Nothobranchius furzeri: one gene and its partners. The protein of the gene in region 2 interacts with the protein of the main gene of each other region in a biochemical or structural test. Links are inferred from orthologs where the notes say so. Each region holds a gene or a part of one and is shown on either strand. Other genes may lie near its edges.

Region 1 (2,325 bases), on a different chromosome or scaffold from region 2:
TAAAAGAGGAATTCTTTCAAATAAAAGTAGCTTCAATAAGAATCACTCATAGCAGCCATCGTGGTAGGTTTGATTTACTTGTAATCCAACAATGTGATTAAGAGAACCAAGTGAAAATTGTAAAACTTAGATGTACTGTTTCATTATCAGAACCATGTTTTCACTATTATTTAACCTTAAGCCTGATTTATACTCCTCTGCCTGCGTCAGTACGGAGATGCCATTATGCGTTGGCGCAAGGGGTGTCCCAACGGGCTCGCAGAGGGTGGCCCTATCCCAGTACTCGCAGGTTCACACTTACACCCTTCAATTGCGATCCCAGCCAGGGGTACGACTGCATAGGCTGTCAGAGTGCGGAAGTAGATTTTGCGCCCTTGATTAGCACTTCACCCAAGTCTGCATACATGTGGACTTGGGTGAAGTGTATTACCCACAACGCATTGCTGCGGAACAACATAGCTCAAGTGCCTTTTCTGAAAATATGTGTTTTCAAATGAAAGTAGTTCATATGAAATTTTATTGCCCTGTGACTGAATGAGTGCTAAGTTATGCAGCAAACGTTTTATCCGTGGACGGAAATGATGAGAAACTTGGGTTTAGAGGTGCCAATTGCATGAAGACGTGGATGAGAAATAGGGACAAATTAGTTCCCGTTAAAAAGTCTCTGAAATACATTAAAACAATATATTGTGGCATGATACCGCCAAAAATTGCTACACTTGCTGTTGTCCTGGCGGGATATTGCTTTGCAACATTCCTCAGGTGACAGAGAAGTCTGATGAGAAAACATATCGATCAATGCATGTACACAACTCCACACGAGCTAACGAGGAGTTTAAATCAGGCTTCAGTTGGGTTTCATATACTTGAGAAAGTTGTAGGCAAGAGGGATCTGGGCTTCAAAACACAGATCCTCTTCAACAAATATCTTATGTTTTTCAGAAAATCACGCTGTAAATGAGGCACACTTGGAACTGGTGAGGGCCAACATTGGGAGCAAATGGAAAATCTGTGCACGACGTCTGGGACTGTCTAATGTAGAAATAGACACCATAGATCATGACTACCACCGTGATGGCCTTGCAGAGTATGTCCACCAGATGCTGGAATCATGGAAAATGAAGACGGGATCTATTGGCTGTACGGTTGGGAAGCTTTGTCGCGCTCTAGACGGGATCATCGAGGTAGATGTCATCTTGAAAATGCTGGAATTGTGCAGTTGCTCTTCTTCCTTTGAAGCTCAGTAATGGGCACATTTTCAGAATTCACTTCAAACATCTGAAGCTCAGTTCAACTGACTTAAAAAAAACTCATGTATTTTTTTTTATTAATCAGATCTAATTTCTTGGGTACTGTCGATAATAAGGGCCTCCCTGTAACAGTAAAAAGTATTGATTTATTTCTTATTGTGATTTTCAACAAGCTGAAACTGCATTTTTATTTGATTTATTGACAGTTTTTCCTACAGCCTACACTGATGAGCGATCAGACACCATCGATTTGTCATGAAATTTCAAATTTTGCACTTATAATAGTCACTGTTAAGGATCATGATATGTTTTAGGTCGAATAATTATTTTCTTACTAAAGTTTTTATATAATCAAGGTGTTTGTCCCTTCAATTTTCTTCCTGAAAAGAGTCATAATGGAAAAGTCGCTCCATGTATTATGAAGGTTAGTTCACAAATATAAACCTACAAGTGGACCCATTAAGATTTCTGCAGAAAAATGGGGCAAAAACATAAAAAATGTATTTTATATCAGGAATTTTAATATATGTGTGAACCCTGTGGAGACAATGCTTTTTGGTCCATCTTGTATTTCAGGCTTGTTGCACATTTTATATATTCATGAATGTTATCTGTAAATTAAATTGTTTATGTACTTTTTTTACCTGCCCAGGTTTAAATGTTCAGTTTAGGACTGTAAAAATTGCATGTTTATTTGATAAGTTGCTGTTACTGTACCATATTAAGCATTTTGAATCACTGTTTTATCCCTAAGTGCTTTAAAGCTGTTTTATGCTATGCTTCTGTCCTCTGAAGCTTTTAAATTCACACTTGGTTTAGGGTACTTGCTCGTATTGTTCTGTAGTATATTTGCTTATGGAATTCCAAGCAAGTTCTCCCTCTATGATTTTACATACCACTGGGATTGTGACATTTACAATAAATTGTTTACATATTTTTAAAGTTGTTTGTGTTTGTTCTTCGTATCCATTTTTGCACAAAGCTTGAGTTTAATATGATGCAAACTGGCTGCATCTAAAATAGAGAAATGTTTTAAAATGTGGTTAGACAGAATATGTTTAGAATAAAAAGTAAG
Region 2 (4,206 bases):
ACTCAGTCTGACCGCCTTCGGCGGGGAATGTTGTCCACACGGAGACGTAGAAGGCAGGACGGTTGTCTTACCTGTGTAATATGTCGGGAGGTAGTAACAAAGCCTCCCGGATGCTCAGGCTAGTCCTCTCTCAGCCACTTCACTCAGCGCAGCGCTTCTCGGCGCCATTCAACCTCCTCTTTCCTTCTGTATCAGATCTATTCTGGAGCTCTCGCAGCTCGCGAAGCTTTTCGAAACAACAGACACTCACGTCCGCTAACGCTAGTTTTTTTTTTTTTTTTTTTTTGAGAAAAAAAGTCCAAGTCAAGGGGATTTCCACGCAGGGACTTTCCGTTCACCCATTTTCCTCCCTCTCTCAGTCACAACCTGGTGCAGTAGGGGCCCGCGGCCGCTAGGGGGCTCCTCTCTGACTGACTCAGTACTGAAAAGCATATCCCACCTACTGAGCACAAAGGAGCGTCACTCTGTTTCATGAAACAGCCTTAGAAATAAATCATTAACCCTGAAAAAGACTAACCTCAGCGAATAAGTCAGGAATACGAAAGACAAACACGTGAGAAGCAGATTTTTAAAGTGTTTACAACAGACTGTTGTTTGGACTCCTGACATGAATATGGGCTTTCTGCAACACACAAGTCCCAGTATCACTCTTCTCTTTTATTCAGCGTTTTATGCTTATTAAACTCCTGTTTTGTTGTAATTTTGTTCTGAACACAGATGCACAACAGGTGGGTGTCTAGAGGGGGGCCTGGGGGAGGCGAGGGGGGAGAGGCACAGACAGGCCCCCTTGCATAAAAGACTGGCCACCCCAGGTGCCACCCCAGAAACTGAGACAGTAAAACATCTAGTGCATATAATAAATAAAAATCTAAAACATATAAACAATATCAAATCAAAGGTGAGATGGCATGGTGTTTACTGTTTTAGTATGTTTTGCATTAAATTGAGCTTGGTTAATGCTCCAAAGTATTTCAGAAATTCAGATGACGAGACTATTGGGTTCAAACAAAACAACAAACCATTCTGTTTCTTGTTGAGGTACATTTTTTCATTGATGCTATGTTTTAAAGCTCATCTATTTATGTTGTTAGGTGAAAAATATTTAAATAATTACAAATAAACAAAAAGTAAAAATGCACTAAAACGCTAGTCTGGAAATGATATCTCCTACTGTGCAAAGACCTAGTCTGGATGTCCTGCAGACGTGGTCTGGACTAACAGACTTAAGGATCTGCACATCCATGTGACATTTGTTTGCAGGGCTACTTAATCCAAAGTGCGTCCTCCTCTCTTTTCTAAAATAATTCTGACTTTACAATGTCAGGGAAAGTCCCAATGTTATTATAATAAATGTATGCATTCATTAACGGAAAAGTGTCAGATAATTATTGATAAAAGTGCACCATGTTTGTGCTTTGGCTTTATTTTAGTTTATAGTAGCCAATTAGATCATGATCAACGCTTAGTAATTTAGTAAAAAAATATGAAGTTTTGTTTCAAAGTTATGAGCCGTTTACAACTGCCACCCTTATCTAAATATGTGCCACCCCCCAAAATAAATTCTAGACATGCCACTGATGCACAACCCACATGTACTGACAAGACTTGAAAAATAATAAAATTGCAGATGTGGAAAAACATCTCAAACATGAATGTAACTTTTTATGATAAAACTGCATTTATTTATATCTGTTGTGAATTTTATTAAGATAACCCTTTGTGTAAAACATGTAAAAGATGAAAGACTGTGAGCTATTATATAATAATAATAATAATAACAGCAATAATAATCATATATATTCTACCCACACTACACATGTGGGGTTACAAAGAAAGAAATTGTGAATTCAAATGACTTATTTTGGCATTTCAAATCAACTATATCAAACTCAAGCATCATATTTATTTGCAAATACTTGGAGAAATTAGCCGCAGCATCCAGACGGTGTAGAGAGTAAAACAGTTACTAATGCTTATGTTTAATCCCACGCTCTTTTCAGCACCTTTTGGTCATGGTGGTTTACAAACTGTTGCCACAGACTGAAGCAGAGCCCTCCAACGGTCGTAACAGTGGTCTACCAGCCTGACAGCTACTGTGCTTTTGTTGCAGCTATCAGACTTCTGATGGTGATGGGAGGAACAGAAAGATGATTTAACATCTGAATGGCCTGAATAGAGAAATACCACTCACCTCTTTGATTGAGTTCATGACAGAAATTTAGTTTGTGTTGTTTGCGTTTGTTCCTATCGGGATCAAATTTACAGTTTGTTCAAAACATTTAGAGAAAATTACCATTATTTCAGTTTCTTAGGTCATTTTCATTTTTTATTTTTATAACCCCCCCCCCCCCCCCCCCCCAGTTATTTTCAAAAGAAAATTTGACTGAAAGTTTTTTGTGCCTTGTTTTATGGATGTTTTGCTTAATGTTTGTATCCAGCCAATGATATTTGATATTGCTTGTATATTAATTTATTCACCGTCCACTGAATTTGCTTTTTTCAGCAAATATATAGGCCTATCTATGCTATACATACAAATATGGATTTTCTACATGATAATCCTTTAAGCAATATTTGATTTGCATAAACTGTTCTGCATCAAGCCTTAGAATAAAGCTCCACACAGATCAAAACAAGAGAAATAGAAGACACGTATCTCAGCTGAAAATTAAAGTGCTTCAAAATAAAAAATATCATTCACACATTAAATCACACACTCAAAAAATTGGTCAACTCACCAGTAAAGTTGATTTTAGCTTAAATCTTAAAGACACAAGCAAACCGTAAGGTTTTAGCTACCTGCTGTCATCCCATGCTGCCACCCCTCTGCTGACTCACTGCTCCCCTTTCCATTTTCCTTTCTCTTCCCTGTGGAACGCCTCCTAGTTCCCTGTTCGGCTGGCCAAACACCACAGTTCTGTTTCCTCCCTACTCACACAGGGAATAGAAACCTAAGAAACATAATCACCTGACAAATAATTCTGGAATTATTCACTGAATTTGACATTAAAACCCCAACCACTATATTCCAGATTTGATATTTAGCACATTTTCTAATCAATGCCTGGATTGTATTTAGAAATGTTTGTGTTTGTAATGGTAATAATGTACAAAACTTTCACACATGTTTAGAGGGTTTGTCACTTGGTCACGTTTGACTGAGTCAGGCTTGAATGATGAATGCAAGCTGGTTATGGGAGCTATTAAATAAAAGCAGCACAGTCACAAGCAGATTATGGAAACTCCCCAGAAAAGACAAATGACCCACTGGTGTGCTCAAGCCAGTAACTGGTTGGTCACAAAAAAGTTTTAAAAAATAAATCACATTTTTCTGTGGTGGAAAAAGGAAATGCTTGGAATTGAATCAAGTCATGGGTGAAGTTTCATTTAATATTGTTTAAAACAAGAGCACAAACAGGCTGAAAACATCAAAATCCTGTTTAAAGGGATACTTTTTTATATTTTCACATCATTTTTTGAGCCAGTATGTGCTCAAATGACCCTTAAAGGCTACCCAGCCTCTATCGCCCCCTGTGGTCAGAATGTTCCACTTGCAAATTTAGACTGGTGGCCGTTTTGTTGGGACTTAGAAAAAATCGAGCTGACATACCTGGTGCTGCAGTCTGGTTCCAGCATTTCAGCTGTTAGATTAAGGCGTTCAAAAGACAAACGCACAGCGAGGAGATACGTTTGCTTTCTGTTCTACAAGCAAACACTAGGGGGTACTAAAAGCAAACCAAAACAGCCTAGTTCCCCTTTAAATGTTAAAAAAGCTTTAATAGTTTTAAAACAATACGAAGTAAAACTCTACATTCTCTTTATTTAAGATATTTTACCAACACAGCTACAATTTTCATAAAAACAGTCATATAATAATGTTCTGAAATGTATTATCAGACCAATTTATTTTGAAATTTATTCAGAAATTAGAATAAGCATTTTTCTTTTTTCCTCCATTCGCTTTTATTTTGCAGGTACGATACAACGTTTTTATTTTTGCAACATTTTGAACACATGAGAAGATTCGTGCTGAAGCCAACAATCTGAATATTTCCATCCTGACAGCAAAGTAAGTGCCAGTGACACGTTTCACAACTTTAACTTCCTTCCTGAATTACAACACTTTTATAAGTTACACGCATGCATTCTCATTTATCTATGGTTTTATTATAAAGTACGCAAAATTATCAAATCCTCAAATATGGC
Region 3 (3,657 bases), on a different chromosome or scaffold from region 2:
TCAAAACGTCCCAAAAACGATAAACGATATGTAGTTACTGTTTACAGCTTCGGTGTCTCCTTTCCTTCTAACTCTGATTTTAGTTGTGCTATCTCATTTTTCCTTTTCCCAGCTTCAGCTCTAATGTACCTCCATAGCAACAGGATCATCCATAGAGACCTGAAACCAGAAAACATTGTGCTGCAGCAGGGAGAGAAGAGGGTGAGTTACAGATCCACTGAAGACAAAGTGCACCAAAACCACAACTACAAGGCTCTTGGAACTTCTATTGTGCAAGAAATGATTGCATGTTGTACCCCAGCTTTAAAAAGAAAACAGGAAAATCTTGTATAACTGAGGCCAGACATTAAAGAGGTTATATTCATGTTTATGCAAAATCTTCTGAGTTTATAGAAACTGAGCCTGACCAGCTTAATCAGTTTAAGTTTATAGGTTTGCATTAAAATTTGTTTCTTCTTTTGCTTACAAAATACCTTAGTTTATGAGGTAAAATTAAATGTTTTAAGAAAAACTGATGAGGATCGACACCTCCAAATCTGAGACCATGGTTCTCGGCCGGAAAAGGGTGGCTTGCCAACTCCGGGTCGGGGGAGAGGTCCTACCTCAAGTGGAGGAGTTTAAGTATCTCGGGGTCTTGTTCACGAGTGAGGGTAGGAGGGATCGGGAGATCGACAGGCGGATTGGTTCGGCGTCTGCAGTGATGCGGATGCTGAGCCGATCTGTCGTGGTGAAGAGGGAGCTGAGCCAGAAAGCCAGGCTCTCGATTTACCGGTCGATCTACGTCCCAATCCTCACCTATGGTCATGAGCTTTGGGTAATGACCGAAAGAACGAGATCGCGGATACAAGCGGCCGAAATGAGTTTCCTCCGTAGGGTGGCCGGGCTCAGCCTTAGAGATAGGGTGAGGAGCTCGGACATTCGGGAGGGACTCGGAGTAGAACCGCTGCTCCTCCGGATCGAAAGGAGTCAGCTGAGGTGGTTTGGGCATCTGGTCAGGATGCCTCCTGGTCGCCTCCCCGGGGAGGTGCTTCGGGCATGTCCTGCCGGCAGGAGGCCCCCGGGTCGACCCAGGACACGTTGGAGAGGTTACATCTCCAATCTGGTCCGGGAACGCCTTGGGGTCCTGCCGGAGGAGCTGGTGGAGGTGGCCGGGGGGAGGACGGTCTGGAGCTCCCCAGTTGGGATGCTGCCCCCGCGACCCGGATAAGCGGAGGAAGACGACGACGAGGAAAAACTGATATTTTATGTATTTCATGGCGCATTCAGTTCAGCAGTTACCAACGTGTCAAGCGTTTTTGGGCTTTTTTCTTTTTTAGCTCATCCATAAGATCATAGACCTTGGCTATGCTAAAGAGTTGGACCAGAGCAGCCTTTGCACATCCTTTGTGGGAACTCTGCAATACTTAGTAAGTAGTACAAAGTAAAGGCTTGCACACCTGATTTCCTCCCCACTTTTCTAACGTCTAATATCTTTATTTCAGGCACCAGAGCTCATAGAAAGGCAGAAGTACGACGTCACCGTGGATTACTGGAGCTTTGGCACTTTAGTGTTTGAGTGTATTACGGGATTTCGTCCTTTCTTACCGACCTGGCAGCCTGTTCCCTGGTAAATTCTGTTCAAATGTAAATTCTGTTCAAGTTTTACACTTTAAAAAGTCACATGTACCCGTTCAGATGAGCTTTTTCCTCATGGATCCAGCAGCTTTTCATTCTATTACGTGAACATTAAGAGTACTTCCAAAAGTAATGAGAACGTTTACCTTTCCACTACCTTCTAACCTGTTACAGTCATAGTTTAGGAATCTGTACAATGATGTTTTCTTGTGTTCAGAATGGATGAACTTAAATAAAAGTAAATGTTTTTGTGTGATTGTTGGACTTGAGCTCGAGTTGGTTTAAAAAGCACAGGAGCAGCTAATGAATTGCAGGATATGTGAGGTGTGCCAACATCAGCGTTCTTTTCTTGTTCTTCGTAAAACGTGATGAATGATGTGAAGCGCTGGGGGCATTGAGTTATTTAGAGGAAAACTACTCCTTAGCCCTAGCAGGGACAAGTGAAAACATGAGAATGTGCTTGTCTCGTGGTCCATCTGTATCCTTCTAGGCACAACAAAGTCAGGCTGAAGCAGGACGATGATATTGTGGTTTACGAGTCTCTCGCTGGAGAAGTCTGCTTCTCCAAACATCTGCCTCAGCCCAACAATCTCAACAGGTGATTGTATACCCCGACAGCTGTCAAAAGGTTTATTCTCTAATGCAGATGTGGTTACTGTTGTCTGCCAGTCTGCTGCTAGAAAAGATGGAGAGTTGGTTGCAGCTGATGCTGAAGTGGTCTCCTAGGAAGAGAGGCAAGGAAGGCAACTCCTTCTCCCAGCTGGAGCTCATACTGCAGCTCAAGGTTAGCAAAGAACATGAGAGTTGTATGGTTGTTTATTTTATTTTATGTTTTCTGACTTGTCTCTTTCCTTTCAGCTGGTTCATGTCCTGAACATGATGTCGGCTAAAATCCTGACGTACAAGGTCGCAGAGGATGAAACTGTGGCCAGCCTGCAGCTGAGGATAGAAAAGGACACGAACATCCCTGCAGCCAATCAGGAGCTGCTGCTGGAGGCGGGGCTGGCGCTGGAGCCTCAGGCTCTGGCCACGCAGTGCGCCATCGATTACACAGTAAGGATATCGGACGTGCAAAGCATGTTTGTCATGATCACACGTTCCACTTCCGAATGAGAGCTGTAGCGTTTGTATCATCGGTCTGCAGGAGATAGATGGACGTCGTACAGATTTACCTCTGGTCTTCCTGTTCGACTGCTCCTCCTGCTCATACGAACCCCAGTTTGCTCCCCGGACTCTTCCTGAAAATATCCGCTTTGTCCGTAAGTACGAAGCCTGTGATGTCAGGAAAAGCCGTGCTCAGTAAATTTTATTTCATTTATTTTCGTGTCAGCTAGCATAAATGAAAAAAATGAGTGTAGAGGCTGAGAACTCCAAACTGACAGGTGTCATAATTAAATATAACAAATGAACTGACAGCTAGGAGACTTATTTTAACACTGTTAAAAGGCGTTCGTGCTAGATCTTTCTCTGAAAGAGTAGCAATGACCATCCTTTCTTTAAAGACGCTTCCGCAGCAGCTTTTCTCGGTTTTATTAACAAACATGGACAGTTTAGGCTGCCACCCCCGCGACCCGACCCCAGGTAAGCGGCTGAAAATGGATGAAGATTCAGACAAAAAGGCTTCATGTTGAGGTGAAGCGTGTCAACGTGAGACACACCCAGAGCACTTGATTAGTTATTGTGACCCATGTTGGCATTATCCAACAACCAATGGGTCAGCTCCTCCGGGTAAATCTTGAGGTGTTCCCTGGCCAGCCGAGAGACATGGTCCTTCCAGTGTGTCCTGGGTCTTCCTTTAGGTCTCCTTCCGGTTGGACGAGCCCGAAAAACCTCCCCAAGGAGGCGTCCAGGAGGCATCCTAACTAGATGCCTGAGCCACCTCAACTGGCTCCTCTCGGAGTGAAGGAGCAGTGGATTTACTCCGATCGCCTCCTGAATGACCGAGCTTCCCACCCTATCTCTAAGAGCCCAGCCACCCTGCAGAGAAAACTCGTTTTGGCTGCTTGCATCTGCGATCTCGTTCTGTCAGAACCCAAAGCTAGT

Evidence for each region.
Region 1: of the proteins of tnfaip3 (region 2) and ripk1l, one has a biochemical effect on the other in vitro, tested with the Homo sapiens proteins (2 studies listed by BioGRID). The link is inferred for Nothobranchius furzeri from reciprocal best matches to the Homo sapiens genes TNFAIP3 and RIPK1.
Region 3: of the proteins of tnfaip3 (region 2) and ikbkb, one has a biochemical effect on the other in vitro, tested with the Homo sapiens proteins (2 studies listed by BioGRID and IntAct). The link is inferred for Nothobranchius furzeri from reciprocal best matches to the Homo sapiens genes TNFAIP3 and IKBKB.

Annotation. Positions count from the first base shown.
Region 1 is NC_091751.1:51,510,969-51,513,293, forward strand, and holds the end of ripk1l (receptor-interacting serine/threonine-protein kinase 1), read left to right. Parts: intron 1-942; coding exon 943-1,247; 3' UTR 1,248-1,699; downstream 1,700-2,325. UniProt on the Homo sapiens protein: Serine-threonine kinase which is a key regulator of TNF-mediated apoptosis, necroptosis and inflammatory pathways.
Region 2 is NC_091752.1:25,134,897-25,139,102, forward strand, and holds the start of tnfaip3 (tumor necrosis factor alpha-induced protein 3), read right to left. Parts: upstream 2,817-4,206; 5' UTR 2,739-2,816; intron 213-2,738; exon of another isoform or gene 72-212; intron 1-71. UniProt on the Homo sapiens protein: Ubiquitin-editing enzyme that contains both ubiquitin ligase and deubiquitinase activities.
Region 3 is NC_091757.1:55,651,187-55,654,843, reverse strand, and holds part of ikbkb (inhibitor of nuclear factor kappa-B kinase subunit beta), read left to right. Parts: intron 1-112; coding exon 113-201; intron 202-1,316; coding exon 1,317-1,406; intron 1,407-1,481; coding exon 1,482-1,606; intron 1,607-2,104; coding exon 2,105-2,212; intron 2,213-2,283; coding exon 2,284-2,398; intron 2,399-2,472; coding exon 2,473-2,667; intron 2,668-2,758; coding exon 2,759-2,873; intron 2,874-3,657.